Linked DNA regions of Astyanax mexicanus. The protein of the gene in region 1 binds, or shares a complex with, the protein of each later gene. Links are inferred from orthologs where the notes say so. Each region holds a gene or a part of one and is shown on either strand. Other genes may lie near its edges.

Region 1 (16,343 bases):
TATCTGGCCCACACCAGTGACATCTTTAAAAATCCGGCAGCTAACTTATTTTTGTACAACAGGCCCAAGACCGGCACAACTCTACAATGGATTTCACTACATCTGGCCCAGATTTGGCTCAGATCTATGACTCATTACCATATCTGGTCCAAATGTGGCACAGACTAGTATAGTCTGAGTGGCCTGTAAAACGTCTTTAAACCCAAAGCAGCTCCAAAATTTACAGCCTTACTGTAAACATACAGTAATAAAGCAACATTTTATTTTACTAGTTTTGTTTCCCTACTACAACCACTCAAAACAGTTCACATACATATTCTGACTAAACATTTGAACATAAACAAAAAAGACAAGAGTTTAAAGCCATTTAAACTTTATTTTGTTACTTGTCAGAAGATACAGGCTTTAAAAAATAGAACCTTCACTTTATCAGGAAAAGCATGTATCGCAACTTTAAAATATTACATTTGTGTATGTGGTTTGTGTGTGGTTAGCAAATTGCTTCAGTGGGAAAATCATTGCAAATCAATTAATTGAATCAAACAGAAGGAGACCAACATTCACATGTGCCTAAAGTGGCAGTGTTAGGACCATTTATGCAGACCAGATTTAATTTGCAGACACAAAGATAGATCCGAAACAGACTCAGTTATTATGAGACAATATCGTATTGGATCCAAATAAAAAAACTGTAATGCGAGTTTGCTGAAGGAAAATCAGATCATTCCATTACATGACATTACATTAGAAGTGATAAAGGAAGAGAGCGCCATCTACCCACCCCTTAGAGAGAGAGCAAGGCCAGTTGTGATCTCTTACACTTCAGCTGCCAATGAAATGATAACAGAACAAATTGCTCACCCCATCCTTCCAAATACACACAAGCTGTCTGCCATGTACTAGAAGAAGTATTGAAAAAAATAATAATAATAATTTAGCTACCTGTGGCTATTTGAAGGACAGGGGCGAAAAAAATTGTGCCCCCACCAGAATAAAAAAATGCCTATTATGCACCATGTATGTTAAAAAATGTCATAGTATTAACGTCACATTACCCAATATAGGCTGGGTTTTACATAGGTGTTTTCACTGTGACTCAGGTAGGCTTCCCAAATTTTACATGTATCTAAGCCTAATTTACAGTGAACAACCCAGATGTCTCTCCTGGGCCCATCACTTACGCTGATGGGGTACATCCCTTACATCCACACATAGCCTTTGCACTGGGTGATGCATTGATATATGTTTTTTTGTTGGAAGGCTCAATTAACCATAATTATTATAGAATAACACAGTGGTTAGTGCATTTTTCATAGTATAAAATTCATTGTATCTGAATATTAACAATAAACACTGCATAATTCACATTGGTCACTCCAATGATTTATTCTAAATAAATAATTTACAGTGAAAACTCTATACCTCATAAGAATTCATTAATTCATTCATCAATTCATTTCTCAATACAGAGCAATTCGTAGTAGTTAAAGAAGTAATGATGTATTTAAATAGCTAAATAGTGAGGGATTTAAGAGGTTCAACTGAAACTTAACATAGAGACTGTGAACATTAACTTAAATTCGGATAAACACATTTTCTTCACATTTATTTTGTTATAAAGTCTGTTCTACCCTGCAACAGTTGCTATGAAAAAGTGTATTTGCAGCGGGGACCGGATTATTTGCATAAAAAACAAGCCAAAACAAAGATGTCATTACTCTGTCATTGACATTAATAGTGCAACCACAAGAGCTGCTTACTGCTGCAACGATGACACAACAAAGCACCTTCCCGACACTGAGTGGTGAAGATGAGGTTTCGACGGTGATGGGATGCTAATTATCGCAGCGGGAGAGGTCAGCGGAGGTCGGCTGCTGAACCTTTTCTGCTTGGGTCAAAACATGTAGAGTTGCTGGGCAACAAAGTTTCTGGGCCTTGTAAGGCTCGGGACTGTAGCAAAGCAAGGGGCTGAAAACCAGCAGGCCTAAAAATAACACACAAAGGGATAGAGAGAGAGAGAGAGAGAGAGAGAGAGAGAGAGAGAGAGAGAGAGAGAGAGAGAGAGATGGCTGTTGAGGCGGGCTTTCTTTGGGATATCCTCTACCCTCTCCTCTTTCAAGAATACCCAAGGACATCCCTCACTATAATTAGCAAGTGTTAGCAACTGTCCCTGTCCCAAATGTTCTTACTGTAAGAGCACCTAACAGTTTTTCTCTCACTTTTCCAACACCTGATTTGTTCACTCACACAACCTGTTAAACCCCCCACCTTCTACAGTACTATCTAGTCTTCCTGTGAATGATCAGTGGACTTCAATGAAGTGATCAGACAAATATCATTAGGCTTATAAGACTTATCCAAGTCTATAGGCTGAGCAGGGGGTGGCTTGTGGGTCTTAAGTCTCAAGTTCTCTAAAGTCACAAACCTTTTTGTAATTTATGGTTGATCCTGTATAATTCATAGTAATTACTCAACAAGTCATAACAGTTACAGTGTCATTTATAGTGGCTAGTAAATATATTTCACATTGGTCACTGTAATGATTCATAGTAACTGGATAATTATAGAAGACATTCATTGTACTATGTTAATAAATCATAAGAGTTAAAGAGTAATTCATGGTAGGCACTATAAAATGTATAATATTTACTAAATAAATTCTTATACAGTACCAGTCAAAAGTGTAGACACACCTCTTCTCGTTCAATATGTTCTCTTTCTTTTCATGATTGTTACATTGTAAATGTAATATTGAAGGCAATAAAGATACACAGGTGCATGTGAAATTATTTTTTAACTAAAAAAAAGTGTTAAACAAACCAGTTTTAAGGACAGATCTGCACAGTCTTGGTATTTTCTAAGTGTCTTTACAGTAATTGTCTGGAATAGTTTTCTAAATTTCTAATTTCTAATAATTGTCATTTAGAGCATTTATTTGCAGAAAATGAAAAATGGCTACAATAACAAAAAAAGACATCAAATAATGCAAAGAAAACAAATTCATATTCATAAAGTTTTAAGAGTTAAGAAATCAATTATTGGAGGAAAAACCCTAGTTTTTAATCTCAGCTGTACAGTTCGGTTTGGTGGCTTGTGATCATCCATCTTCCTCTTGATTATATTCCAGAGGTTTTTAATTTTGTAAAATCAAAAAAAAACTTTGATCTCTTATTTTTGCTGTAATTCCATATGTGTCCCTTAATTGTTTTGATGTCTTTGATATTAATATACAATGTCCTCTGCTAAAAAAAATCCAGCTCAAGACCAACAGCTCATCTAGAAATAAAATAGAGAAAAAAACATACAGCTGGTCATAAAAAATCCCTATGCTGGTCAAAAGGTACTTAACCAACTAGCCAACCAGTATTTTTTACGACAAGCTGGTCTTAAGCTGGAAAACAAATTAAATAAAGAAATTAAGAAAAATACTAAAATAATTTAGTATATGAAAATCTACTGATTTTTTCATCAGGAAAGTTGTGTTATTTGGAATTTAGTCTGTCACCTCAGTCAGCTAGCTTGGTAGCTAAGTTAACTAGCTATGGATACATATATATATATATATATATATATATATATATATATATATATATATATATATATATATATATATATATATATATATTTTTTTTTTTTTTTACAAAAGAAGGCAACCACAGCCCTCAGCCACAGAAAAACATTCAGCTTCAGCAGCTTCAACATCCTGCGATAAAGAGAGTCACCAGTGAGTGGGTAACATGGTTAGCTTAGCATTATTAATAAATAGCTGCAGTTAGCTCACTGGCTAACATCAGAACTCTGGAGCTAGAGCTCTGGTTAGCATTAGCTGAGTTGTACTGTGTACAGTTGCTATATACAGGATGTGACTTTAAAAATCCTAAAAATTACAGTTACGGTGCTGAAACTAGGTCAAACATACATTAAAACAATTATTTAACATTATGAAGTATTAATTTAAACTCATGAAGTTCCTAAGTGACACATACTGAACATCCTGAACATATCACAGGACAGTGTGTAAAACTAGCTCTTTTAAAAGTGTATTTTTTGCTTTGTCAGCTCTGTTTCAACCATTTACCCATTCACACACTTTACTAAAATGTTTTACGTTCTATAGAAGCTGTTCTAAACTAATTTCTAAAACTAATAGAAGTTAAATTAGCAGTTAGGTAGGTAATTGTTGTTGTGTAATTTATGTTAAATTAGAATTTTAATCTTATATAATATCTACAGTCATTTTCCCACAATAATAATAAAAACAAACATTAATGAGCCGCTGACTGAATTTAACTGTTTACATTTTGAACTTCAGAAATGGGTCTGAAGTCTTGTCTTATTATAATCCCTCTATAAACTCTTACCTTACGTAATCAACTTATTTTTAACGGACTGACAGAATATTTTGAGTACATACACAACTGGCCTATTGGTTAGAACACCCCCATATTTTCCATTTTATTTTTGTCATTTAAGTTGTTCTTGAAATGGTACAAAATCCAGTGAACTGTAAAAAGATACAAGTTAGCTAGGGCTTTCAATAAACTTTTAATGAAAATAAATTTACTAAAAACTGAAACAAAATAAAAAAAAATGAAACAAGACATTTTTTAGGAAAGAAGTAATTTGTTTAATGACATAAAGCTGGTATAGATGTATAAAGATGTATAGCCATGTGTTACTGCACTCTCTACTACAGCATATACACAACACTGCACATTCAGATTTTCATCATAATAAGTAGAAAAATACCCAGAAACACAGATAACTGTGTTTTTAACTATTAAAAGTATTCTAAGTATTCTATAAATCAAGTGTAAGCCAGATAGCAGTGAGTACTCTTCCATTAAAAGACTCCTGGAGAAACTTGGAGAAAACTGGTATAGGAAAAGGTCTGGCTGTCCCACATGGCAGTGTTTAATATTGGAAGTCTCAGTTTCAACAGTGAAGAGAAGATTAGGTCTGACAAGTGAAGTGCAGTAATAAAATCATTAATACGATAATAAAACAGCTTGTCTGGATCATGCAGCAGAGCTACTGGACTACTAAACAGTGGGTGTGTTCTAAAACCTTTGACTGGTAGTGTCCAATTAGAAAGATTGTATATACAGTGACCCTATTAACAGGTTTAGTGCAGCATCTGTGATGGATCATCTGTTATCATCATGGAAGTAATGCAAAGAAGAACCCTTAAAATTCCTAATTGTAATTCAAACAATTCATTAAAACTTATACGTCAACAGTTTTTTTTTTAATTATTGCTTAAAGAACCATTTAAAGCACTTTTATTTTAAAGAATGTAGTATGATTCCATGTGTGTATACACGTATATACACGTGTATATATACATGGATCGTACTAGGAATTCTATAATTAAAAGCAATGTGTGCATTCCAGGCTCTCTATATGTGGATGTGTGTGTGTAGGTGTTGTTCACTGCTTGAGATTAGAAGGTCTCGCACTGGAACCTCAAACTCAAAGAACCAAGAATAGGGACAAGGTTGAGACAGTGTTGAAAGTTTAACACCATTCTTGTCTAACAACTGCAACAGGCACACAATCGCACACATCCACACACCACATACACACACTGTCACACATGCACATGCATAGACTGCGCAGCCTTCTTCCAATGTGACTCATGAAGGTCTTTAACTTGAGGGCAGAATCATGGAAGCCCAACCTGGAACATGTTCTTCAAGATCTGCAAAAAGAGACACTATAACTTCTTTCTTCCTAAAAATCACATTTTTGGAGGAATTTTAAAATTGTTCAAAAAATGTTTTTTTTGAACAATCTCAGATTGTATCCCAGGGGCATTTATGGGTAGCACAACCCGGAATCATAAAATTATGTCCACGGTTTCCAAGTTGGTCAGGATCAGTAATGGGACCAGGAAGTGTTAAATATGGACCCTTTCTAGATGCACTGTAATAAAAAACATGACAACGCTTAACGAAACCTTTCCTTCTATATAACTAAATACAAATCCCAAACAAGCCCCACAGCATTATGGGCCATTGTCACGTCCATTGTTAAAACGATACAATATGACAGGATTTTCTATTTTCTGACAGACAGAAAATGAATGTAAAACAGTAACTTTCTGTCAGCTGGGATGATAAATAAAATTTACACATCCTTCCTAAAATAATTATTTGGAAAAATTGGCTTTTTGCCTAAAACATCTCCTTATGATGCTGCATGGTCACCTGTATTAAAATCTTCTACACCCTCAGTAGATCACATCATTTATTTCTACCTCTTTAGGATAATAGCCTATGTAAGGAGTGTGACTTATAATAAATTATGACTTAGGCAAATAGCTTTCCAAGGTGGCAGCTACCTTCACGGAACTAATCGCTACAATTCAGGATTTATCTCCAATAAGTGATAAGATTTTAAAGGCTTTTTAAGGCTTACAGGCTATAAATATTGCAAGGTTGTTTTGTCCTATTATTGACATTTATTGAGGTTTTATTAGTCTGCATTTTAGTCAACAAAATAGCCATATGTCCATAGATGTAAGCTATAAATTCTCTACAATTTGTGACTGTTAAAATGCTAATAATCTTTTCAATCAGTTTTTTTATATTCTTTTATTTGGATTGTTTCTTGTTGGCTCTACTGCTCGACGCTATGATAAACTATCCATTTAAACCATTGTTCATTTTTAAATAGCCATAACAATAATTTTTTTGTGTTTCCTGAAAAGCTTGAACAAAATTACTTCAAAAGTAATTCATGTATTCCACTTCCACAACATTTTTTGTATAAAAGCACATGATACATTTTGAAAAACAGGCTATTCTAGTTATTTTATTATTGTTTTTTTTTAGAGAACAAAATCTGTAAAAAAAATCATCAGTCAAATCATCATCATTAGAGTCTTGGTTGAGCCATCTGATTAATCAAACTAAAGAACACAGTGATGTATAACTACTGTCCATCTCATAATACCCATCTCGTAATTACAGAAGGTCAGTGGAGTCGTGTTTGACATGGTTAACTTTAGACTTTGACTGGTTTAGTCCTCCAGTGTATCGAACTGGTCACTGTGGTCGCCACACTGGGGCTGAGTGTGACACTGGTGCCAAAGCAGAGACACCTGGTGCTGTCTGTGGGGCAAGGGTCAGCCAGAGGGCAAATGGTCAGATGTGAAACGTCATAAGGAGACAAGAATGAAAAACAAAAAATAGCTGAAACATTGCTGTGAAAATAAACAAACAAACAGTTTTTTTTTAAGAAAAAAGGAAATTTGGATATATGAGAAGATGCGAAAGAAAAAAGGAACACCCACAGACTTTCTCGCACATTAAGGCTGGACAAATTCTGTAGACAAAGACACTATGCGAGAACACCTTTGATTTGTTAAAGAAATTATGCGACCTTTTTAAGATTGCAAAGGCAAATTTGGTGTATTAAAAACATTACACCAAAATGAGATGAGAGATCTCTTTCTTACCTAATTGTATTTCTTTGTGTTGCTTCCTAAAACTTTATCATTAAACACATTTTAAAATTAAACAAACAATGGTCTAATCAGTTTGATTTTTACTCTTTAACTTTTTATTTCTTTAACAGAAATAATTTTACATTGTAAAAAAGTCATTTGAAGATTCTGCTGCTCCAGAATACCCTGTCCTCTGTTTATGTATTCAGAATTAATAATAATAGTAATATTAATATAAATATAAATTTATAATTATCTTGTTGCTAATAGGGATGCGCCAATACCACTTTTCTCTTCTGTTAGCAATACTGATGCCAGATTTTCAAGTATCTGCCAGTATCGAGTAGCAATACTGGTATCACAGTATAATAAAAAAGGCTCTTAGTCGTGAATGAGAAATGAGAACGTCGAACACCTCACACCTGGTCTCCTGCAGAGACATGTCTTTCTTTTTTAGTTAAGATAAGTAAGTAAGTAAAGAGCTGTTACAAAAGTACTCAATATGTCTCCAATATGACTTTTGATAAGCAGTGTGTGAACGGTAGAGATGTACACATCAAAGAGAGAGTGTGTGTGTGTGTTTGAATGCACAATGGCATGTATGGAGTGTGTAGGTGGGTGAGTTAACACTAGTCAGTGTGTGTACGTATGTGTGACGGGGGGCTGAAAGCCGATCTTGGGGGATAAATGAGTTAAATGTCATTGAGGTGCACGCTGACAGACCACGCCATGTTGAGGTCATAGTTCAAAGTACAGAACAGCTGCTGCAGCAATGTCTACAGTGTGGAGAAGATAGGAGTGGAAAACCAAAGAAAGAATAAAAGAATTCAAGAAATGAATAAAGAACGAAGAGAAAAAAGTAAAGAAATGAAGAAAGAAAGAATTTAAACAAGAAAGAAAGAAAAAAAGGACAGAGAAAAAGACAAGAGTCTTGTGAAAACTGAACCAAGGAAGAAGAAGAAAACCAACACAAACAAATGAACAAATAGTATAGAAAGAAAAAAAGTGAGGAAAGAAAAAAGAAAGGACACATAAAGGAACAAATATATAAAAAAGAAAGAAAGAAAAAAGGACTGAAGGAATAAAAAACAAAAAGAGAAGATGAAAAAGGAACCAAGGAAAGAAGGACTAAACCAATACAAACTATTAAGCAAAGAATATAGAAAGAGAAAAGAAAGAAAAAGTCATGAAGAAAGGTAGGAAGAAAGAACAGAAGAGGAAAAAAAATACAGATACACATCTAAAGAAAGAAAAGGATCCAGCGAAATCAGAATGACAGAAGGGAGGAATAAACAAATGCAAAAAGTTAAGAAAATAAAAAAAGAAATTAAGAACAGAAAGATAGCAAAAAAGAAAGTAAGGGAGAGAGAGAGAGAAGAGACAGAAATAAATGGATTAATTACACTTAAGTGTTTTGTCATAAAGGAGACGCAATGGAAAGAGTTAGCCTCTCTCGCTCTCTTTGCCTTTAAGACATATGGCTTATGCACAGTTCTAAATGGCACCTTCTCCTTTGATGCCCTACGGCACGTGTGTGTGCATGAGGGGTCTGTGTGTGTGTGTGTGTGTGTGTGTGTGTGTGTGTGTGTGTGTGTGTGTGTGTGTGTGTGTGTGTGTGAGGGTGTTTTGTTTTAAAGAGAGCTGTGAAATCCTCCTGGGACACTTGGTGTCTTCTGTCCACTCATAGGGAAATAAGGGCCCACTTTGCCTTAGTCTGTAATGACACACTTGTATCCTGTGAAGCCCTGTTTATTCCACAGGGTCCATCAAGCTACCTCAATGTGTAAGAGACCCCAGAATCCAGAGGTAACTTTGGGTGCTTTCACATCAACCTTGATTACTCCAGACTAGTCTAGGTCTGAACCAAAACTGCCAAAATCTGATCTGGCCAATAGAAGTGGTTTCACACTCTTGCAAACAATTGTACCAATCACAGATTGTTAAGGCAGGTCGTTGTCACCTATTCAACAACAGGTGATACCTGTATCTAATGTAGCTGTAGATTCATTTACGTCTAAGAATAAAAGGAATCCGATGGAAATCTGTTCTGCTCATCCTGCTGTGTGACGCAGAATTTTGGCAGATTTCAGGTGTGAAATCGCCCTTTGACTTAGAACAGGTTTATAATGGAAGCCAAAGGGAAATTATTACAGACCTTTTAATGTGTATCTCATGTCTCTCTCCCTCTTTATATCTCTTTCTCTCTCCCTCCCTGATACACACTTCACGCTTACACACAGTTTTTCCATGTCTGGTCATTTGGAGTGTTAATCCCCTGAACATAATGTCCTAACTTACATTGAGATTCATTGCCATCTCTTTCTCTCTCTCTCTCTCTCTCTCTCTCTCTCTCTCTCTCTCTCTCTCTCTCTCTCTCTCTCTCGCTTAGCAGAGTTATAGTTAAGTTATAATCTCTATTATTACATCCTATTGTCCTCATATTGAGCCCTGCTGACCCTTCCCTGCCCCAGTACAAGCAATAAGACACTTGACCCATCACTCATAATCCCCACACCACCCAACACTCACACTCTTGAACAAATACACACACACACACAAAAACACACACACATGCTCTCAACACTACAACCCTTCACTCCCTGCCATCCATCCTACACTGACCACCAGCATGTTCCAAAAACAGACACCATTTTCGGTTCAAGGCTGACCCCCTTCCCCCTCAATCCCCCACATACTCACACACACACACACACACACACACACACACACACACACACACACACACACACACACACACACAATGCCACTCACACCCACAGTTGTTGCCCCATTCCCCCATCCAACCACCCCAGGCCCGGCCCCTTATCTCCTTATACGTCCCACCTTATCCAATAGGGGTCCACGTAGGGGTGTGCCTGCAGGCCAGGGGGCTTTGGTGGGTCTTTATAAAATTGTATGGAGATGAGCAACAGTTAGCACTTTCTGTCAGTCCAGGGAGGAGAAGGACAGGAGAGAGAGCCGAGAGAGAGGGGGGAGAGAGGAAGACCGTTGGGGCCAGTGGTTTCGTCCCAAATCCCACTCTTTCAGAAAGTGTCGGTGGGTAATCTGTGTTTTTTGGTGGTGTTTTTTTTTTTGGAATTCTCTGGGTTCCTGAGCTGGGACCTTATTTTTTTCCTTCCGTACTTTACCGCTCATGCTCTCCTGTTGTACGTGTGTTTTGTGAAGTCTCCCCTTAAGCAGAGAGGATGGAGAACGCCCACACTCAGGAGTCGGCTGAATGCCTGGCCTACTTTAGCGTGAACGAGGGCACGGGCCTCTCACCTGAGCAGTTCAAGAAGAACCTGGCCAAGTTTGGCTATAACGGTGAGAGAAGCATGAACTGATCGATGTTGAATGTTAATACAAGGAAAGAAAGTCTGAGCTACTGGAGTCTAGAGTCTATGAGGAAGAAGGAACTCTCAGGCTGGTAAAAAGAGAATAGACAGAGAGCTGGATAGTGGTAATGATGATCCTTTTCCAGCTAAATAATTACCACAAGTTTATTTTATTTATGCCACTAAAAATATGATTGTATCATTTATTTCAATCACATATAGTTGTCTTTAACTACATACGAATAATTTATATATATGATATCAATATACATTGATCTAGATCTAGACATCTGATAGCAGTTCCTTTAAGTGTAATATATATCATGATATAATTGAGCTATATAAGGCAGAAAGGGCCTAGACTAAGGCTTTGTGTCAGATGCAAGGTCAAATTGAAGGACAAACAGTCATTTCTAGGCCCGTCAGCTCTGATTCTTGTAATTCTTGCATACACTGCACTGTATGAAGTCTCTCTGAGACGATGATTATGCTTATGGTACTGTACAGGTAATAATAATAATCTTCTCTGTCTGTTGTTTTGTCCTTTTTTGATTCCACCTTCCTGACTGCATTGACCAATCACAGAGCTGCCTGCTGAAGAAGGTGAGTTAATGAACTCAGCTGACTTATAATTGTTTAAAATACATTGGGCTGCGCCAAGAGGTTTTATCAAGATTATTTTATAAATTTGTATTATCAATTATTATTATAATTATTTTATTGTACCCGCATTTTTCTTCCAATTTTAGCTAAGCCAATTAGCTAAATGTTATTGTGTTAATATCTGCTAAACATAAAAAAATAGACATACTGTTGGGTTATAAATTAAGCTAAATTAACCAATGCTTATTTTTTTGAGCATTCAGTTTATTAAAACAGATTAAAACATATATCCAAAAAGTCTAAGTTTTTTTATGCAATTATATGCCAATACCAATATGATTTAATACACTGCTAATTTGCCAGTGTTAAATCAACACTGTTAGTGCATCCAAAAAAAAAGATGTATGCAAGAACAATGGAGGAACATAGAGTATACTCTATTTGTGTTTCACTGCCTAGACTCAGATTTCAGATTTAAGGCTAAGGTGTGATCCACTTACAGGCGACAACATTTGAAAATGTACTGCACTAATAATACTGCTCAGAACTCAGTGGACATAATTGACATATCACATTACACAAGATCATAAATACAAACTGTTCGTTCTCTCCCTCTCCCTCTCTCTCTCTCTCTACCAGGTAAAACAATCTGGGAGCTGGTGGTGGAGCAGTTTGAGGATCTGTTGGTCAGGATCCTGCTGCTGGCAGCCTGCATTTCTTTTGTAAGTGAATCTGTGTGAATCTCACATGATCAATACAGCAACATACCAATATCCTCCAAAGAACTTTCGTTTTCCTTGTGGCTGTTTGTGGGCGGGACCTGAAGGGGTCATGTGGTTGCAGGTGATGTGCTAAATGTGGGCTTGTGGTGTTCCTGAAAAGAGACAACACTTCAGTTTCACAGTTGGGGGTCACTAATGCTGTTGTGAAGGACAGGGGACACATTCTCAAGCCCTCCTGTCAATCTCTGAGAGAGCCCCTTCACCTTTCAGCCTTGAGTAGTGCACTGTGGGTAAACTGTAAATTCATTTGTGAACCTGAAAGCATGGCGAGCACCAGGAGGTAGTAAAAATCACGACCCAAATAGAAGTCATGCTTTGAGTTCCATGTCCCTCAATCTAACTCGTTAATCACTTTGCATGTAAGGAAAAAATGCAGCATGCAGAAGACTAATTGAATTTTATTCGGATTGTAAAATCAGACAGACATTGGATTTTGGATACAAAGAAAAAATGGTTTGATGTGCAAATACAGCTTTTCTAGTCCCCATGGAGAAGTATTGCTTATAGAATAGGGCTAGAATGCAGAGTTAACATTAAAAAAAGTACAATAGGAAATGCAAATATACAAATAATATTCATTCAAAATAATAATTACAATATAAAATATGAAGAGATCAAATAATAAAGGACAAAGCTGATCACTCAATTCAAGGAGAATAAGAGCAGGAAAAATCATAATATTAAGAAAACTTTTTTCAGTACTGGATTGATGTTGCATTTTATCTGGACATTAGAGACAGTTACTCAAACAAAAAGTAGGATTATACTTTTAAAAAAGGAATTACATTTAAATTACAAAAAAAAATATGAATGAGCAGGTGTCTGAAAACTTTCGTCCATAAAGTTTTAATGCAAAACAGCGGTAAAAAATTGTATTGTGCAAATGTTAACATTATAAAAATCCAACACATACCTCACAACTAGGATATTGTTTACACCTGGTTACAGTATCTGGAATATATTCTAATAGGATTTTAACTAAATGCATTTACACTTGGTGGTCAAAATTGTCTCAACATTTGTTAGACTGAAATCCGATTGAAATGTACAAATTCACTCATTTTGCACAAATTAATACTAGTGTTTTAGTTTACTTGTACTGGGAGAATACTCAAGTGCTTTGAAGTGGTTTGATCAATTATTAAATGCATCTTTGTTGCATTTATACTTGCATTTTATGTAGTTGGGTATTGATGTCAATGCATTTCTACATCAAATTAAAATTAACCCAACCAGACATCCAAAATTAATCACTGTTGGTGGCCAGCTTAAAACAAACAGTTTGACAGTTTCAGACGCTATTAGTGCTTATAAGGCTTGGTCACATGTTTGGCGCATGCTCTAATTTAGCGCTGTGAACGAATGTGAAAGCCATAGAGAGGTTTATTTCATTCTATGGTCTCCTGAGTCTGCTGAAGTGAAACATTTATTTTTGGGCTGTTAATCAGTACGTACATCATTCTACGCTGCACTTATTACTCTCATAACTTCTCCTTTAATGATTGTTTGATTCCTCCTTAATAGCTCCTCTTAATGGCATAAGTATATTCACAGCAAATGCAGCTCATTACTGAAATACTTTATCTGTAATTCTCCCATGAGGTTTTGATATAAAAACACTTCCCATCCATGTCAGGCCTTTAATCCTTCTCCCAGCCACACACACTCTCACACACTCACAGTCATACACTCACACACTCATACACGTGTCCACTTGCAAGGTTGTTTTATAGAGAGTTGAGTTGAGGGGGAGAACATGCAGCATTAGTTCTGCTGTCCTGCGTCGTAATAATTTCGCTATAGCCCTAGAAGGCTAGGCCTGGTGGGAAGAAAAGCAGATGGAGAAAGACAGAAAGAGAGAAAGTAAGTAAGAAAAAAGGAAGAAAGAAAATACGAAGGAAAGAGAGAATGTGTCAGTGTTTTATTAATTGTGTATTCTGTATTTTTATTTTCTCCAACTGGGTAAACATCTCTGCTCATCACATGTTTTTTAAATGACTGGAGCTAACTAAACAATTCAGCCTAATAATTTCAGAACATTTTGTGGGAACATTAGAGAAGATTCAATAAATTCTTCCCTAAAGATCTAAAGTAAATCTAATAGAATTGAATCAAATAAATTTGAGATTTACACCTTTGCTGTACTGTTTTTTTAATATAGTAATTTTTCTGCCCGTCAGGTCCTGGCCTGGTTTGAGGAGGGAGAGGAGACAGTCACTGCCTTTGTTGAGCCTTTTGTCATCCTGCTCATCCTCATCGCCAATGCTGTGGTCGGAGTTTGGCAGGTGAGTTTTTTCACAATGTCAATTACTTTACATTTTACAGCAGAGAAAAGGGTTTTGTTTGACCTACACTTGTAGCCCATGCACAGAACAAGGCCTGTTAAGAAGTTACCAATCTAAGTATTTACACACATCCGATCACAAAACAGCAACACAGAAGAAAAGAAGTAATTCATGGAAACGTTTTGAAGTTAGGGACGAGATGAACAAGCCAATGCCTTAGACTAATAGAATAGAATCATATAAATCACCAGAGTTATATAGTACTGTTAGCTCAGTGAGCTGAGCACAGTTTCTTAAAGGAGAACTCTGGTGTAAAAATTGACTTTTGTTATAGTAAAACATGATAAAGAGTACCAAACTTTGTTGAATAGCCCACCTTTGTTCTACCCAAGCTTTCCGAAATCCAGCTATTTCTTGCAATTTGTCCACAGGCTAGAATGGGTTTTAACGGGGCATAGTTTGCTCCTGCAGATAAATTGCTTTTTACACCATTATCAGGGCTCAAAGTAGCTCCACATCTCATTGTTAGAATCTAAAGAGCCCTGATATTTAAAACGAGGCATTATGAACTTTAAAAGTGAAAAACCACGGTTTACAACCCGTAGCGTTAGCTACATCTCCGGGCACCGCCATCTTAAAGTAATGTCATTAGATGATCATTAGAGTGACAAGCATATAATGTTGCAGCCTGGAAAGGCACAAACACGAAACATTCTACCTTCTGTATGTATACAGCATGTACTTCTGTTAAATTTACGTGCTCATCACTCTGTACTTTAAGATGGCAGCACCCGGAGATGTAGGTTATGCAACGTGTTTTTTAATAAACTTCTTGTGCACTTTTAATGTACTTAATGCCTTAAATGTCAGAGCTCTCTGGATTCTACCAATGAGGTGTGGAAAAAGCGATTTATCTAAAGGGGCAAGAATATGGCAAAATAGCTGTCTCTCGGAAAGGTGTGGGAGAATGGAGGTGAGCTAATCAACAAAGATTAGTACACTTTATCATGTTTTACTACACCAAAAGTCAATATTACACCAGAGTTCTCCTATACATTAAAAGTCTAAATGTTTCAACTGTTCAACTGATACAAAAGCATGGCCTCTTTGATGCCATCTTACCATCTTTGACTTTTGTATAATACATGGGCACAGTACATGGGCAGTGAGATGCTTGGAAAGAGGCTCTCTCTTTGGTGTGCAGCAGAACAGAGCAGTTGGCATTAAATCAGGGGTCGAGGGTTAATCCCAGCAGATCTTTAAGCCCTCCACGGCCTGCAGCAGTGCTTTGCAGAGTGGCCGTATCGTCACGTTGCTCAGGGCTGGTCAGGTTTCAGTAGGGTCCACATTGATACAACAATGCTCACTTGGAAACTATGTGCAGCAGTGGAAGGAGAAGGCCTCTGGGCTGTAAAGAGATGGGAAGAGAAAATAGGATCTGATTGTGGCCTGGCATTTCCTTCCTCCACAGGAGCGCAACGCAGAGAGCGCCATCGAGGCACTGAAGGAGTACGAGCCAGAGATGGGCAAAGTGTACCGCGCCGACCGGAAGAGCGTGCAGAGGATCAAGGCCAGAGAAATCGTTCCTGGAGACATTGTAGAAGTGTCAGGTAGATGCACAATCAGCATTCACACTAAAGCAAAAAGAGAATAAAGCTCAGACTTCTGAATGAGTCAGTAGGATTGACTGACTGATCCAGGCTCTGCCCACAAATATTGACTAATAATGAACTCCATATGTTCAGGAGTGATGTAAATTAAATGATACTGGAATTCTTCTTAAAACCAGTCTAAATATATGATTTTTTAAAACATTGCTATACAAGAATATCATAAGAATATTCCAATTATAAGTAACTTATTTTTACTTGTTTTAAACAGTTTTACC
Region 2 (16,768 bases), on another chromosome or scaffold:
TTTGGTCACCTACAAGATTCTACAAGCAAGATTTCTTTATTTAAGAGGCTCTTCTGTCCTCCACTCGTTACCTGTATAAAAGACACCAGTCAGGCTCCAAACTCAACCTCGTCCAAGATAAAAGAGCTGTGGAAGGACACCAGGAAGAAAACTGTAGATCTGTACCAGGTTGGGAAGTGTGAATCTACAACAGGGAAGCAGGTTGGTGTGAATAATTCAACTGTGGGATCAATAGTGGGAAAATGGAAGAAATACAAGGCCACTGATGATCTCCCTCGATCTGGAGCCCGATGCAAGATCTCAGCCTGTGGGCTAACATCCCAGAACTACACAGAGGGATCTGATGAACGACCTGCAAAGAGCCGGGACCAACGTTACAAAGGCTGTCATCAGTAACCCACTACACCAAGAGAGACTCAAATCCTGCAGTGTCAGACATGTCCTCCTGCTTAAGCCAGTACCTGAAGTTTCCCAGAGGTCATATGGATGATCCAGAAGGGGATTGGGAGAATATCATATGGTCAGATTAAACCAAAATAGAACTTCAACCTCAACCCCATAAAAAATTGTGGAGGGAGTTGAAAGTCTGTGTTGTCCAGCGAAACCCCCAAAACATCACTGCTCTAGCGAAGATCTGTATGGAGGAATGGGCCAAAATACCAGCTACAGTGTGTGCGAATCTGGTGACCCACAGGAAACATTTGACCTCTTTCATTGCCAACAAAGAACTTTTGTTATTGAACAAATTTACAAACAAATTCTTTAAAAATCCTACAATGTGATTTCCTGGATATTTTTTAAATTTTGTCCCTTATAGTACCTAGGATAAAACTACAGACCTCTCTCCTCTTTCTAAGTGGGGGAACTTGCATACTCAGAGGCTGACTAAATACTTTTTGCTCCACTGTATATAGTTTATTGTGGCTTTGTGGTGTCATCAGAAAAAAAAAAACATGTAAATGTCGATTAGCGTCACCTCAAAAGTTTTATGAAAACTTTTTGTTCGCATTTTTAGGATTTGTAATTGCTACAATTGAGACTGAGAAAATTTATTCTGCAAAATTTCATTTACAATCTCAGTGTGTCTGGGTTTGTTTGGTGCTCAGAAACTCTAAAACTCTGATCCTAGAATCAACCCCTGCTGTATATTATGAACACGTAATCTAGCAATGTAATGTTTTAATATATTAATCACCCTCTTTTACTTTTAGCTCAATCTCAACATTGGATTTGAACCCTCACACATGTATATGCAGAAACTGCAGAGTATGGTCTGGTCACTTGATCCACAAACAAAGGTGATACAACACATTTAACACAAGTGTGCATTGAATGGGCTTTCCGTATATATGGATATATTTAGGCTGTGTGGTTTGGTAGATCATAATACATTGGTAGCAGCAGATGAGAGCTTGTTTACTATAAAATGGGAGTTGTGCACCTATATTTCATAACTAAGACTTAACGTTAACTCCAAAGCAATGGAGTCTGTAGGATGATGTGCTGAATAAATGTTTAACTAATACTAATATACTAATGATAACTCAGTATCAGGGTCCAGAAAAACATGCTATAAATAAAATCAAAAATACTGTTGTAAAACACTCATATAAATTTAATGACTGTAGATGTAGTTGTTTACTGGCAGAATTCAAGATGACCCAGATTTGAGCATGTGATCATCTGAAAGTGGAACATCTCAACAAAAACTGATGTGTGAGTAATGATTAATGAAACATACCAGTCGTGCTTATTTTTTTTATAAATGTTCCATAAACTTAAAAAACACTTTTATTGTGGTCATTTCTGCCTCTGCAGTGCCCAGGCCCCCAGCTTTCCCCTTCCAAAACGTGCCACCGGAAGTGTTTGGCAGTTGTAACATCTGGTATTTCTTCTTTTGCATTGTTTACCACACCAAACTGACCATTACTCTCCTATTAACATCCTCTAGTTACGAATGAATGAATTAATGAATGAAGTTAGACTTATTATAGCGCTTTTTTACATACCCAAGGATGGTTTAGAGTCATGATTTACACACAACCATTTATACCCATCCACACACACACTGTTATGAAGCAGCAGCCAATCATGCACAACTTACTCCCAAATGGAAAAAACCTTAAACCTGGAGGACTGCATCCAGCACTGAGATTTTAGAATATGCAATTAACCTGATCTCCATGTTTTTAGACTTTAGAGCGTGACAGAGGAAATCCACTCACATACAAGAACATGGAAACTCCACCCAGATAGGAACTTGAACCCAAGATCCCAGTACTGGGAAGCAGATGTGCTAACAACTAACCACTGTGCCGCCAAGTTATCACTTTTTCCAGAAATTGCAATCCCATATATGCAATCCCTATATAACCCTATATAAGGTCCTGTGAGCAATGGACAGCAGGCTAAGGTGAGGATTTTATCATTTGCCATAAGAAAAGACTGCAGCAATTCACACTCTTCCAAAGAGCTCTGATGGTGTTAAGAGGAGCAAATTTCTAACTGACCCTAAGAAGCAGGCATGTGAAAATTTACCAGCTATGCAAAAGGTTACATTGCTCTGCAAAAGAATCTCCCGGCACACGAGCAAGCTCTTCCCTGCTTGCGCCATCCCTCACATTTATCTGACCCCTGATGACCCCTGCTGTCAGCTTATCAATCACATTCCTCTTTTCAATGTTTCTGGCTGAAAGAAAGCCGATCAGGCCGCACTAAAGACTGTTCAGCTGTCATCCAGGGTCAAATACTGACAGCCAACAGAAGCCTCCTCTGCTTTATAGATATAGGGCCTGGCGCCATGACAGTGCTGCAGGCTTATGAAAATCCTCAGCTGCTGTCTTACAGCATAATCGTTCCAACCGTCCATAGCACAAACCCCAAAAACTGAAGAATCTCATGCATTGCTGATGATGTTAGATATACAGGAGATTCTTTTCCAAAGAATTTTTTAATTCCATCAACTTTTATCAGCAATTATTCAAATGATCAATAAACACAAGTGACCCAGTTACACTGGCATCCACATACTGTATGTTATGCCCATGCCATAACCCTCCACCATGTTTGACAGACCATTAAGTGCTTTTGAGATCGTCAGGGTCTTTCCCAAGAAATATCTACGTATTTAAAGTAATTTAAAGATTTTTTCTTCTCATACTATTATTTTATCTTAATATTATTTTAAGATGAACTTCTTTATTATATTAAAATTAATTACAATATTTGTAACCACAACACCTGTTATTAGCCTCCAGCTTTTACTAATTGTAGATACTGTAACACTAGCCTATATAACAGTTCCAAAATGAGACAGTGTACAACATAAGCAGGGCAATAATGCAGAGAATTTAATTAATCTTATAATATTCCTATAATTATCTAATGATGATGAGTTTTTCACATAGACCGGGGCAATATATCTTGACTAGGGCTGCAAATAATGACTATTTTAGTAGTCGACTTATCTGATTATTTGTTTGAGTTGTCGATTATTTTTTGTCATGCCCTCCATTTTATCTCCTATTGGTAAGGACAGCTAAACATTTAGGCCCCAAGAACAATTTTGCAGTACATTTTGATAGATTTACTTGCTTATATTTAATATGAAAAAAAAAAATTAAAGCATAGATGGGATTTGGACAGAGACACAAAAATTACATCTCTGAAGAATTATCTTAATAATAAGAATTATAATTATCTTAATAATTATATTTCATTATAAAGTTTATAGTAGAGAGTGTCTTTTATAATTATTTTTTAACTAAATACCTTACTTTTGCAATTAGGTCAATTAGGTCAAACAAGACACTATGCTTAATAATAAAATGTATTGTAAAGTTATTTTGTGAGCACATTTATACATGTAATTTCCTGTGGACAGTAATGGCACTCATTCAGTGGAATGGCCCATAAACTGTATATTATGTCTTTAAATGTCATGATATATTATATTTTACCATTTTGCCAAACAGTGCATAATTATGTACACAACAGGTGGTGCCTTTAATACTGTTCATATTAATATCAGAATTATATTGTGTTTTTACCAAAATGACGAAATATCGTAAATCATAATATGAAATTAGGGCAAGATGATGTGGCCAAAAATCTAAAAATATGGCCAAAAATAAATCCAAGGCAAAGGGTAATAGTAGGATAGAGGAGGAAAAGAGGGGGGAGCAGGAAATGAGGATAGAAGTAGTTAGTTTGTTAGAGGTGTTAGGAGAGTAAGTGCTCTTTGAAGAGCTCTGTCTTCAGGAGTTTAAAGATTGTTGCCACTGGAGGAGCGCAGCGGCTGGGACATAGACAGTGAGTGCAGGTAGGAGGGAGCTGCTCTGTGATCACCTTGTAGAAAATCGTAAGGGCTTTGAATTTAATGTGAGCTGCAACTGGTAACCAATGGAGCTCAGTGAGCAGTGGGGAGATATGTGCCCATTGGCTTTGGTTGGTGAGCTGCTGCCTTCTGGACTATCTGAAGTGTTTTTTTTACACAGGCCGGAAGGCCCATTTGCACTGCATTGCAGTAGTTGAGGTGTGAGATGGCTTGTATCAAGAGTTGGGTGGCCTGTTGTCAAATTTGTCTCATTTTGTTTAGCGCAAAGTTGCAAGACCGAAGAAACTGAGGAAACATGATGTGTAAAGGAGTGATGATCATCGACCATAACACCCAGGTTCCTATAGCAACCTTTTTTTGGGGAGAGTGAGAGTAAGTCAATGGTTGGTGATAATAGGAAGTATTGTTGAATGGATTGTTTAGCTGGAAGAACCAGTAGTACAGTCTTGGATAGGTTTAGTTGAAAATGGTGTTTAAATTTACCTATTCAATGTATGTAGGTAACAGGTCAAGGTTATCGGAACCTGAAGATGTTTTGCCACTTTTCTCAAGGGGCTTAATCAGGATTATACCAGATTTTTTAAAGTCCAAAACCACCTTCACAGACACCCAGCACTGGTCACATCTCTGATACAAACTGATACACCACTTTTCAGTTGTGGACTAATGTTACAGAAAGCATCTGCCAGATGCCCGTGCCAGCCTAGCCTGCTGATGTGAGATTAATGTGAGGTAAGAGGATCGCTGTTGTTGCCAGGGCACATCGGTATGTGTTGTGCATGTTAATTACCAAACACTAAGAGGGATGCTAAAGCTAAAATCTTTAAATACTCTGTGAGTGTATATTACATATAATGTGTGTTTATACATAAAAGTACATAAAGGCATTTCGTTTTTTATTGCATCTAAACAAGAGTTAACCTTGTGTTAGTGTTATCTCGAGTTGGTTCACTGGTGCAGACCCTTATTCATCCTCTGCACCAACACCAGGAGGATGAACAATGCTTTCAGTGGAAGCGCCACAACGAAATTCCACTTATTTAAACAAAACCCTCCCAACCAAACAACATAAAACTCTCCAAATAAAACAAAAAAAAAATGTAGAGCAATTCCAAGAATTCAAAACACTATTTGAGATGGTTTTAAATGCATATCTCGTGTTAGGAAAAATGAAATATGAGTGTGGGGTGTTGTCTTTGGCTGTTGAATGTAACTAATAAAGTAACTAAGTTACTTTTTAAAGAAGTAATCAGAAATCAGATAAGTATTTCAAGATAACTTTGCAATCACTGATCGATAATGTATCAATATTTTGTGCAACCCGTTATCAGAAACAGTTTCTTTTTTAGTTACACATTATCCTACAAAACACCTCCCATTTCTGAAATCAAAACTGCACACACACACAACCACAACATTCTCTTTTAGAATTGGAGGTAAGACAAGTTATCCAGTTCTTTCATGGACAGATTTGGACATATATCTTCTATCCCCTTAAAAGGCCAACAATACTAACACCAGTCCCTATACACATTCTTTCAATAAAACCCTGAAATTCTGCACCTTTTCTGTGTTTTTTCTTCTTTATAAACATGTACTTCATCCTGTTGATCCTCCAGCAATCAGCGATTGGAGCTGTGAAGTCTATTTCCATTGCTTATCTGGGTTAATAATGTTAACAGCTGTTCGGGACACAGCAGAAATTCTAGTGGGGCTGATAGACCTTCTGGATCATTCCACAGCCTACACATCACCAGCACCGTCGCTCCAGAGACACAGTTACACTCCTCCACAGCTCACGAGGGGCTATGGGAGGGGTTTTACTCCTCTGGTTCATGTCTGGTATTAGATATGTTGCCAGTAGTTTCATGTTTATCTGCTCCAGTTTTATTCTATTGGCAAAACTTCTGTAGAGGGACTAGACAAGCTGTATGTGTACAAGCTGTATTGCACATCTGTGTCATCAATAGGTACAAATTAAGGCAGTAAATGACATGTCTCTCCAAACCATCACTGATTGTGGAAACTTCACACTAGACCTCAAGCAGTTTGGACTGTGTGTCTCTCCACTCTTCCTCCAGACTCTGATCCCTTGATTTCCAATCGAAATGCAAAATTGACTGATGATCAGTGATGGTTTGGAGAGACATGTCTGTCATCTGCTGGTGTTGGTGCACTGTGTTATATAAAGTCTAAAGTCAGTGCAGTGTTTTCCCAGCAAATCTTACAGAACTTCATGCTTTCCTCTGCTGACAACTTTTATGGAGGTGCAGATTTCATTTTCCAGCAGGACTTGACACACTGCCCACACTGCCAAAAGTACCAAATGGATTCATTTTTTCCACCCAGGAATAGTACTGCATTCAACTTCTGTTTTAAAGTACAATAAAGTTCATCTAAGTCCATCCTACTGCAAGTCACATGGAAGAAGCGTGCAAAATGCCAGAACTGAATAACATGCGTCTCATATATGAGACTGGGGATCCCCAGTCTAATCCAGAAACAATGGAGGTCTCCGGTTCCACAGGGAACATTCCAGAAAGCAGCCTACAGTAAATCGTCAGTCGAAATCCTTTTATGATCCCAAAAATCCAGAAAATCACCAAAAACAGCTGAGTCAACATGTGCTTTAGGTATAGATATACTTGCATTTATGCTCTTGTGAAGACCTCACACTGAAATCTGAGGATTTCCTGCAGTCTCCTCTGGAGATCCTCTCAAGCTGTCAGTGTGGATGGGGACCACAGAAAAGGTTTTTCTTTTTGCTTTAGTCTGTTTTTAATGTGTTTTGGCCATTTTGGATGGTATTGACACACGGATTCTTCTTTACACGATCCAGCTTTAACCTGCAATTTGTGGTTTACAGAAAGGTGTGAACTGTGTTCACAGACAGTGGATGATTTCTGGAAGTGTTTCTGAGCCCATGCAGTGATTTCCAGTACAGAATCAGTACAGTCTGTATTTAATGAAGTGCCATCTGAGTGCCTGAAGATCACCAGCATCCAGTACTGACTGACCATCAGCCTTGGCTTTCATTTAGTCTGTGTTTATGGTAGTAGGTATTTTTTTTTAGAATATCATGTTCTCTTCTCACTCAAAGATACTGCTACTGCTGCTTTACAGCATAGATTTTGATATTATACAGCTCAGTTATTATACTTCAGATTCTGAATCATAACGGCCAACATTAACAATAAAAATATTGTCATTTAGAACATTTATTTGCAGAAAATGAGAAATGGCTGAAATAGCAAAAAAATGCAGAGCTTTCAGACCTCAAATAATGCAATGAAAACAAGTTCATATTCATTAAGTTTCAAGAGTTCATAAATCAATATTAGGTAAAATAAACCAAGTTTTTAATCACATTTTTCCTGCATCTTGGCATGTTCTCCTCCACCAGTCTTATACACACTGCTTTTGGATAACTTTATGGTGCAAAAATTCAAGCAGTTCAGTTTGGTTTGATGGCTTGTGATCTTCCATCTTCCTCTTGATTATACTCCAGAGGTATTCAATTTGGCAAAAGTAAATAAACTCACCATTCTTGAGTGGTCTCTTATTTCCAGAGCTGTAAATTTATCTCAACTGTAGCAACAAAAGCATACTTTAGACTTTTTTTTTTACTTAAAATATAATGTGTTGCATGTATTAAGGTAAAACTGATTTTTTTTCACAAATCAACGCAAGATGTTTCCACCTTTCCTGAGCACATGAGGTCCTCACAATGTGGCAAATACATGCCAATACACACACACACACACACACACACACAGTTTTATTCCCCTGGACAGTGGTCTTAGATAACTGCCCTGCCCTGGCCGGTGACATCACAGCAGGGCTGTATAAAGGCCTTGTTTGGGAGGTGCACCTTTGCAGGGTCACTTCAGGCAAAGAAAAATTTGAGGGGGGCCTGAAAAATCCATTGAGAGAGACAGAGAGGGAGAAAGAGAGAGAAGAGGCAAAGAACGAGAGTGAACGAGGGGGAGATACTGTCTGCGGCTGGGGAAGTTCCTGCAGGTGTGCAGGTAAGAAGGAAATAAATAAAGAGATTATTAGGTATAATTGCATACTATCATGTAAACTGTAAATGTATAGAAACCAGACCACATTGCTGGTAACTCTGATGATCTTATTCTGTATAACAAAGGGAACTCTTGCTCTTCCTTTCCTGGGGCAGTCCTGATGAGAGCTTTATAAAGTATTTTTTTTTACTTAGTTGAGTAGGTCTTGCCATAATATGTATTAGAACATTACTCAAATAGAGCTATTCACTGTACACCAACTCTACCTCTTCACAACTTTAAAACTGATGCTCTCAAACCATGCTCTCAAAGAGTCAAGAAATTCAAGTAATTAACTAAGAGCACAGCTGTTAACTGAAAGCCTGAAATTCCAGGTGACTCTACCTCATAAAGCTGACTGAGAAAATCCAGCCAAGATGTGCAAAACTGTCATCTAAGCAAGAGGAGCTACCTCTAAAATATAAAACATATTAACATCCTTTTTTGTTGTTTACTAAATAATTGAATATGCTTTTATTTATAGTTTGCATAAGTTTGGTATTAATCCAAAATGCAGGACATTTTAAAATAATGATGAAAAAAAAAACTGAATTTAAAGTGTGTGCAAACGTTTGACTGGTACTGTATAATTCAGATAAATTATTTGAAATAGATTAAAAACAGGATAAAAGCTTAAGTGAGCAGAATGGAATTAATATAATTGCACTCTAAAGAAACAGATAAACATCTAATAATAAGTAGCCAAATAAATAAACTTATAATATTTGTAAAATGTAAAATATATATATAAATAAATAAAATAAAAACATGACAGTAAAATAAAACAAATATTGTACTGAGAACTGCATTTAAACAGTAAATATCTTATGGCTGTATATGATGCACTGTGCTTTATAAGTGACGTGCATTGTATCTGCAGTGTCGTAGTTACAATAACAACCAAATTCTCACTCCTGCCAATCGAAAAAACATAAGAAAGGGTGTTGTGGCACGTTAGGAACCGGAGTCAATCTTTGCTCAAGAGTGACTCAGCAGGATGTATCACTATTTAAAGAAACATCTCAGTAATGACCTAAATAGCTGCCTCGTGTGGGCCATCCCAAAAGCAACTGCAGACGTTTTAGTCTAGGAATAAACAATGATGACTATGTCTAACATTTACAACAAGTTTCAGAGTTCCAGCTGTTTAAATCACTTGTTTTTACTGATTGTCTAAATTATTTAGGCTCATTATATCTAGAAATGAAGTACTAATGAAGTAAAACAATGGTTTACTTGTTTCTGTTTACCTCATCCCTTATCAACAGCAGAGAGGTTCTGGGTGGTGTTCAGCAGTGTTTATGTAAGGGTGGGCTGTAGCCAGAGAGCTGTCAGTATGGGGGGATTGTAGCCGCAGTTGAGCAGATGAAAGATGAGAATTTGAAACTCAGAGACAACAGGTGGGTTTAAACCTGGACGTGACTTTCAGAGCGCTTATTAATCCAGCGTGTGTGTGTGTGTGTGTCTAACTGTGGAAACATTTTAAACCCCGCGGAATGTAAACACGGAGAAAAAATAATAATTTATTGAGTAAATTACATTAAATAATGTTGATAAATGTTTTTTTTTGGTGGACACCTGGAATTGAAATGTGGAAAACAACAAAAAAAAGTTCATCAAACAAGCCTGATTTTGACCCAAATACTCTGAACACTGGTCAGTGTCCTGCATGTTCCAACACCCTGATTGCCGAGTATAATATGTCAGTCAGCCTGAGCAAAATGTGTCAACACCCCGGTTGCAAAGTATAGTATTGAAATTGCCCTGGACTTTTGCAAACACACAGGTTGCTAAGGTCAGAGTTCTCAAGTCTCACGCTTTGAGTGTGTGACACACGCACCTCAGCGAGTTCACACGCTCACATGCCACACATGGTATTTCTCACGCTTGCCAATCCATCGGCTGTATATTATAATGTACTCTCGCTGAGCCAATCAGAATATAGATTGCTCTGTTGTTAGGCAGACCTAGTCAAAGAGGGTGGAGTTTCAGCCAGAGTGTCAGGTGTGAAGAACTGTCCGATTCGAAAGTTCTGAAACACACGTCGGTGAACAACCGAAAGAGAACGTCGGCAACGTTTTTTATTGTTTGCACATTGTAAATGAACATATGTATTTTTTAGTTATTATTTTTGTTAGTGAACCTTTCTGAAGTTTAGTGATTACCTGTTCAGGAGAAAACTAGCCAGCTGGCCTGTATCCATGGCTGCAGCACACTGATTGCGTGCTGTTGTGTTCTTTACCTGCCAACCCGGGTTGTGAAAATTGGACTTCGGAAATGGCGGTGGGCAGATTTGGAGCCTCAAGCTACAGAAATTACCATGACATACTAGCATACTCAAAATGTTTCCTTAAAATCTGTTGAGAAGTCCTGATCATTTTATGAGCTTCTACCGAAAATATAATGTTTATTTGGTCCTTTAAATTGACACTTACTTTATATTTCTTTCTTTCTTTCTTTCTTTTTCTTTCTTTCTTTCTTTCTTTCTCGTTATAGTGGACTGCACAACAAATCCCTTTCTTCTAATCTCCCATCAACATCCCTCACAGATTTCTCTTAATCAGTACCTCTGTCCTGACTGCGAGAGATGGACCGGTCTGTACAGGAGCTTTTTCTGAACTTTATGATCGTCCTGATCACAGTGATGCTCATGTGGCTGCTGGTCAGATCCTACCAGGAGTAAAGGAAATGAGCGAGCGATGGGCTCTAGCTGCTTAGCACTGCTCTTGCGATGTATGTCTGGGAGGAAAGCATGCGGCACTGCCACCCCCACCCGATCAACAGATGGCGATACTTGGTTTGGAAGCGAGAGAGAGAGAAAAGACCTTTGGCTGACTGCTCAACAACACAAGACATCGGCTTCAGAATGTAGTGGTTAAAAATATAAAGAGAAGAATGATGATATGGATCTTAACTTTTTGTTTTGGCTGCTTTGGTGTACTTGTTTTTGGCTTTGGTTTATCACAGCACTGAGCACATGTTAACTGCAGTCACTGCCAGATTGCTTTAACATTGCAGTTTAGGTAATGTTTAGGTATCTGGACATTTGGACGTGCTCAGACAAAAATGAAATAAAGAAATAAACAGTATTGTCTGTGACTCAAAGAGTCTTGACTATTTTTTTTTACATAGATAAAGCTGTAAACCTTTGCACAAGACTAATAAATAAACACAAGACTCAAACTACAGTCAAGGCCAAAGGATCAGACTTTTGGACCAATTACCAACGGTGTCCAAAGTATTCCCATTCACTCCTCTGGTAAACGCATTGATACAAGAGTTTAAAACACGTCTGTAGAAGTTGAAGCATCAAATCAAGCTTTTTACTCCTAATATAAAAGTGTTAAAGTACTGGTTGCAAAACTAAACTTAACTTAAAAGTATAAAAGTAATGCAAGTAATAGTAATACAAATTCCATTAAGGACATAATCTTAGGCAGTGCCACAGAGTCCTATAGTGCACTACCCGCCCTCCCCAAAACACATTTCTCTAAAAGCCATAATATTGACTATAATGTTATATTAAAATGTCAAAGTTGATAAATTTGGGATGCACTAGGCTCCCTGTTTTAGCTGCATAAATGTCCAATGTCCACAAAAATGAATGTATTTTAGTAAAGTAAATATATTAAACAAGCTTAGTTAGACGTTTGGCTCGAGTCTCTACACGGATCATCTTCATACTAGACTACATACATCTGCTATGTTCTTGCTGGAGTGTGGGTGTGACGTGTGCAGGCGTGATGGATCACAGTATAAATCAATAGGGTGTTGTAATGGTACATTTTTATACTTCTCTACATCCAACCACAATCAGATTCACTCCATCTGGGTGGACAACAAATAACAAGGCTATTTTTAAAAAGTAAGTAGGAGAAAGTTCTCTTTTTTTGTTGTTGTTGTGCTGCTATATGTAGTGCTTGTACACTTTTAAAATTATACAAGTTGAAGCACCTTAAGCTTCCTTGGAAATTCCTCAAATCACCTTAATTCTATTTCTCAAACTTTAAACGAAATTGTATCACCAATGATCAAACAAAAACGTTTAAGTAGCACCTACTGGGGCTTCTGTGCGGGCCTTACCTAATTTACAATCTGCAAAATCTGCAGTATGCCTACTGAGACAGAGGGAAATAACAGGAGTGTGGGGGAATAGGGAGTAGTGGACTACAGAGTCTACATGGCACCCCTTTAAACCTTAGCTTAATTATTTTGCTATTATTACTAATACAGACACTATGGTGAATCCTGGAGTTCCACAGGATACAACTGTAGGGACTCTTACACTGTAAATAACTGAAGTGTAAGTTTATATACAGTATCTACCAGAGTGAACACTGAACACAAAGAAAAGTAAACAATTAAAGGAAAAAAACTGATTTCAATCTGAGGCCATCTGGTGTACCACCCTAAAATGCAGTGGTTCTCCAAAATACCACAGTTGGAGAAGCACTCCCTGAAGGGATTCCTCCAATGTATCAAAACTGAAGTAACCCTAAAAGTCCAGATGACTTACTCCTAAAGCTTTGCTTGCCATTGTTGCCACAGTGCTTAATCAAAAGAGGCTTATACTATCAATTTAGTTAGCCTACCAGTTTAGTTACTTAGCTAGTTAATCAAACAGGCCTGAATATATATCAGCTACCGTGTATTTAACTACCCTAAATGCTTGGTAGGCCCAACATTACTCTGGATAAGATGTTGTTTTCACAAGGTGTCAAGAGACAAAACACATGTATTACAGGGCCAAAGATATGTGGAGACCTACTCACCCCAGCGTTCCTTCCGAAATCAAGCCCTGGATCACAACACATCCAACTGGATGGAGCTCCCTCATTCCAGAGATTGCAGTTCTACTGCCCCACAGTGGAAGCTCTGGGGCTTCAACCTCTACAGCCGAGGGTTATTGTTGGGAATAATAATGGTGGAGCTCTACCAAAGCATCCAGTTTTATAGACATAGTCTTTACTATATTAATGGTGGATGCACCTTAAGTTATTTAATAATAAGAAGCTTTTCCAACAAATGTTTGGACATACAGTGCACAACATGAACAGCAACACAAACAGCAGCTCTGTATGGTATTTTATTTCAGTGAGAAATAAAAAAGTTTAACAACAGCAGTTTTCGGTTTATTCATTTTTATTATGCATGGATGCAGGTGCAGATTTACACTCACTGTCTAAAAAAAGGGAACATTTAATGCCCCTAAAAGCTCTCTTACAGATTTTATTGCCACTAAAATGGTCAGAAATGAACTGCCTCATATCTATGGCAGAGTTCTTCAGTCCTGGTCATGGAGCCCACCATCCTAAAACATTTTAGTGGTTTCCCTGCTTTAACACATTCACCACAATTCAAAAAGGGCTTTATATGAAATGATTGGCTCAATCAAGTGTGTTTGGAGAAGCGAAAGCAACACATTTGAAGGATAAGGTGGCTCCAGGCCCAGAACTGTGTTTGGAATTGCTCTACTTATTTTATCTTATTTACTATATAGCCATTGCTATATATAGTCATTATATATATATATATATATATATATATATATATATATATATATATATATATATATATGTGTGTGTGTGTGTGTGTGTGTGTGTGTGTATTATTAGTTATACAGTGATATTGTGCACACCCCAATGTAGGGTTTAATTAACCAACCTAGAGGATTGTAGGTCAGTATGCTACCAATGAACCAATAGATCTAAGTGCAGCTGTGTGAGTGAGTGCAAGGTGCAAGGTGGGAAATAAAGGAGAAACTTCACAAAAGAAATGCCACATGGCATGTTCAAACAAAGAAGAACATGGATCTAAAGACCAGGATGTTTAATTTAACATAAAAAACAGCTTTTTTTGTTTGTCTTTGGTAGACTCTGTGTTCTCTTTTTGTTCTCAATGTCTTGTCTTGTCTTGTCTTGTCTTGGCTTGTCAGCGCTGATTGCTGCTGAGGATTCTGGGGTTTGGAGTATTTTGCCCCATACCCACCAGTTCTACCACTCTGCTGCTTACTTGCTTGCCCTCTGCTGGTGACTGGTGGTATAGGCTGCCTTCTTAAGTTGTAGTCTTATATGCAATGGTATCCACACCCAACTTTTGTACTTATGGCTATGTAGCATATAAATTACATTTTACTCAAGTTACATTAAAGACATTAAAGTGCTTTACATAAAGTGCTTTTTCATTACAGCTTCATACCTATTATTTAATAGCTGTGAAGGTGCACAAACTTGCCTTAGTTGCCTTATTTTTTAAATATAGTTTTTTTTATTTAAGTAATTTAATTAACGTGTACATGTGGACTTGGGTAATCATAAACTGGTTCCTTTCATGAATCAGGAAATAATCAGATTTTTGCTTTGCAACAAGCCATTGAACCCACAGAATAAGACCTTAAAACTTAATGCTGCAGCTCTTTTCTTACACAATGGGCTACAATAAGATCTTACATCAGCTAAATTGGTTTTAGCATTGCTCTCAAAGTAATTTGTCCTAATCCTTTGGGTGCTATATTAAACAATGATCCTTTATTTCTGCTACCAGGGTCTATTTTCACTCATGCACAGACTGAGAAATCACAGAATACTCTGGTTAAGGTTTACATGCACTGTGATACCTGATTACTGAGCTAAAATCCAATTCATTTAATCAGATTTTTAAAATCTAGTTTATAGATATTTCAATCTAAGAAATCTGACTATGTGGTTTATATGACCACTGCAGAAAATCTATTATAAAGTGCATGTATAAGCATTCATTGATTTCATTGATGGTTTAGCCACTCAGGAACCCAAACTATTCTAAGTACTGTGTGTGTGTATATATCTATATTTATGCTGTTTTTGGTTTGTATTCCAAAAACATTACACATCTGGCCTCCCCGATCTTTTACAAAGCCTTTTCTTAGCAAGGGAGGTTAGTGTTTTCATTTGAATAAAAAACATATTGTTGTCATGACCTAGAATTTATGTTATGTAGGCTACGTGTTTAAGTATGTGTGTGCAAAACATGCATGCTTTTCCTGTTATTAGGATTGTAGTGCTTGATCGATTGTAGTCTTCTATGCGACCAGATAATATTCCTGACTTTGTTCACAGTGTTTCAGTTGGCTCTGACCTCCAGGGGTCTCTATAGCGGTTGAAGCTGAGTGCCTGGCAGTGGAACTCAGTGAGAGCCCTGGGCATGGATGCCACCTCCTCCCACTCGGAGCGTCCACTGTGATATACCTGCACCTCGTCTGTGACCTCGTCTGGAGAGTAGTCGCTACCCAGGATGTAGATCCTGTCCCGCACACCTATGGCCCCGGCATTAAAGCCAGCACACTCGAACGAGCCCTCCCCCTTCCACACGCAAGTTTCGGGGCAGAAGCTGTACACTTTGTAGGTGGACAGGTCACACAGGTACAGGGTTTTGTTAATGGCCACGGCCTTGACGAGAGTGGCATGGAAGAACTGTCCAAATTCAGCCACTAGCTGGCACCACTGGTCAGCGATTGCATCGTAGCGAAAGAAGCAGTCCAGTGATGGGTTGAAGGCTTCGGACATCTCCAGCTCTGAGCCAAGAGCGTAGACTATGCTTCCACATGCAGCTACCTCTGGAAAGTAGATCCGTCGTGGTAGAGGACTGACTGACTTCCAGGAACGCAGCAGTGGGTCGTAGTACTCTACATCTGGAAGGCTTTGGACATTGTGAGAGGGTCCACAAGTTTTTCCACCGATCACGTAGAGACGCCTCAATGTACAGACCGAAGCATGCATCGTACGGTCTTTTCTCATGGCTGGGGCTTGGACTAAGCTACCCGTGACAGGACAGTAGCACCAGACCTCGTTCGTAGCTTCATGATGAGGTTCTGCAATATGCAGTCGCACAGTCCGGCAACAGTTTCCCCGACAGCCTCCGGTCACAAACAGCTTCTCTGCAAAGCCAGCCAGAGATGAGCCTGGCAAGTCAGCAAGTCTTGCAGCATCCTGGGGCAGCTCGCGCCAACGGTCAGCTTCCACATCGTAGCAGAAAGCATGGCGGGTCAAGCCATCTTCTTCTGTCTTGTGCACATAGATGTAGCTGGAAGTAGTGGACGGACGAGCATCTGGAAAGAGGCCACTAAACTTCTTTGCCTGTTCAAATGCTTCCTTTATCTTTTGGGAACACTGTTGGTCATTTAAAAGCAGATGCTCGGACCGGCTCACCTCCTCCAGGAGAGCAGGAGGAAGCTGGTGGAGTCTAACATGGGTGAGAAACTCTGGAAGCATTTGGCTTCGTTTTAGCGGGTCATGTTTTATCCACCGAAGCAGGGAACGCAGCGCACTCTCCTCATCCGGGATGCTGAGGGAATCAGCAGACAGGCAGCGCTCCAGTACCTGAGCCGGCA

What was found.
Region 2: the proteins of atp2a1 (region 1) and sarcolipin are in contact, whole or in part, in a crystal structure (PDB 3W5A), measured with the Oryctolagus cuniculus proteins. The link is inferred for Astyanax mexicanus from reciprocal best matches to the Homo sapiens genes ATP2A1 and SLN. Residues at the interface, in XP_069919846.1 of Oryctolagus cuniculus: Phe88, Val89, Leu96, Ala100, Ile103, Val104, Trp107, Arg110, Asn111, Asn114, Arg324, Lys328, Trp794, Leu797, Gly801, Leu802, Thr805, Ala806, Phe809, Trp932, Ser936, Leu939, Leu943, Leu946, Ile947, Val950, Pro952, Leu953, Ile956; in NP_001075856.1 of Oryctolagus cuniculus: Met1, Glu2, Arg3, Ser4, Thr5, Arg6, Glu7, Leu8, Leu10, Asn11, Phe12, Val14, Val15, Thr18, Val19, Leu21, Ile22, Trp23, Leu25, Val26, Tyr29.

Annotation. Positions count from the first base shown.
Region 1 is NC_064426.1:25,694,355-25,710,697, forward strand, and holds the start of atp2a1 (sarcoplasmic/endoplasmic reticulum calcium ATPase 1), read left to right. Parts: upstream 1-10,375; 5' UTR 10,376-10,507; intron 10,508-10,636; 5' UTR 10,637-10,656; coding exon 10,657-10,774; intron 10,775-11,370; coding exon 11,371-11,388; intron 11,389-12,027; coding exon 12,028-12,110; intron 12,111-14,350; coding exon 14,351-14,455; intron 14,456-15,926; coding exon 15,927-16,065; intron 16,066-16,343. UniProt on the Homo sapiens protein: Key regulator of striated muscle performance by acting as the major Ca(2+) ATPase responsible for the reuptake of cytosolic Ca(2+) into the sarcoplasmic reticulum.
Region 2 is NC_064425.1:11,884,096-11,900,863, forward strand, and holds sarcolipin, read left to right. Parts: upstream 1-8,202; 5' UTR 8,203-8,364; intron 8,365-10,896; 5' UTR 10,897-10,987; coding exon 10,988-11,083; 3' UTR 11,084-11,499; downstream 11,500-16,768. Other genes in the region: kbtbd3 (kelch repeat and BTB domain-containing protein 3), read right to left, coding at 15,492-16,768. UniProt on the Homo sapiens protein: Reversibly inhibits the activity of ATP2A1/SERCA1 and ATP2A2/SERCA2 in sarcoplasmic reticulum by decreasing the apparent affinity of the ATPase for Ca(2+). Also inhibits the activity of ATP2A3/SERCA3.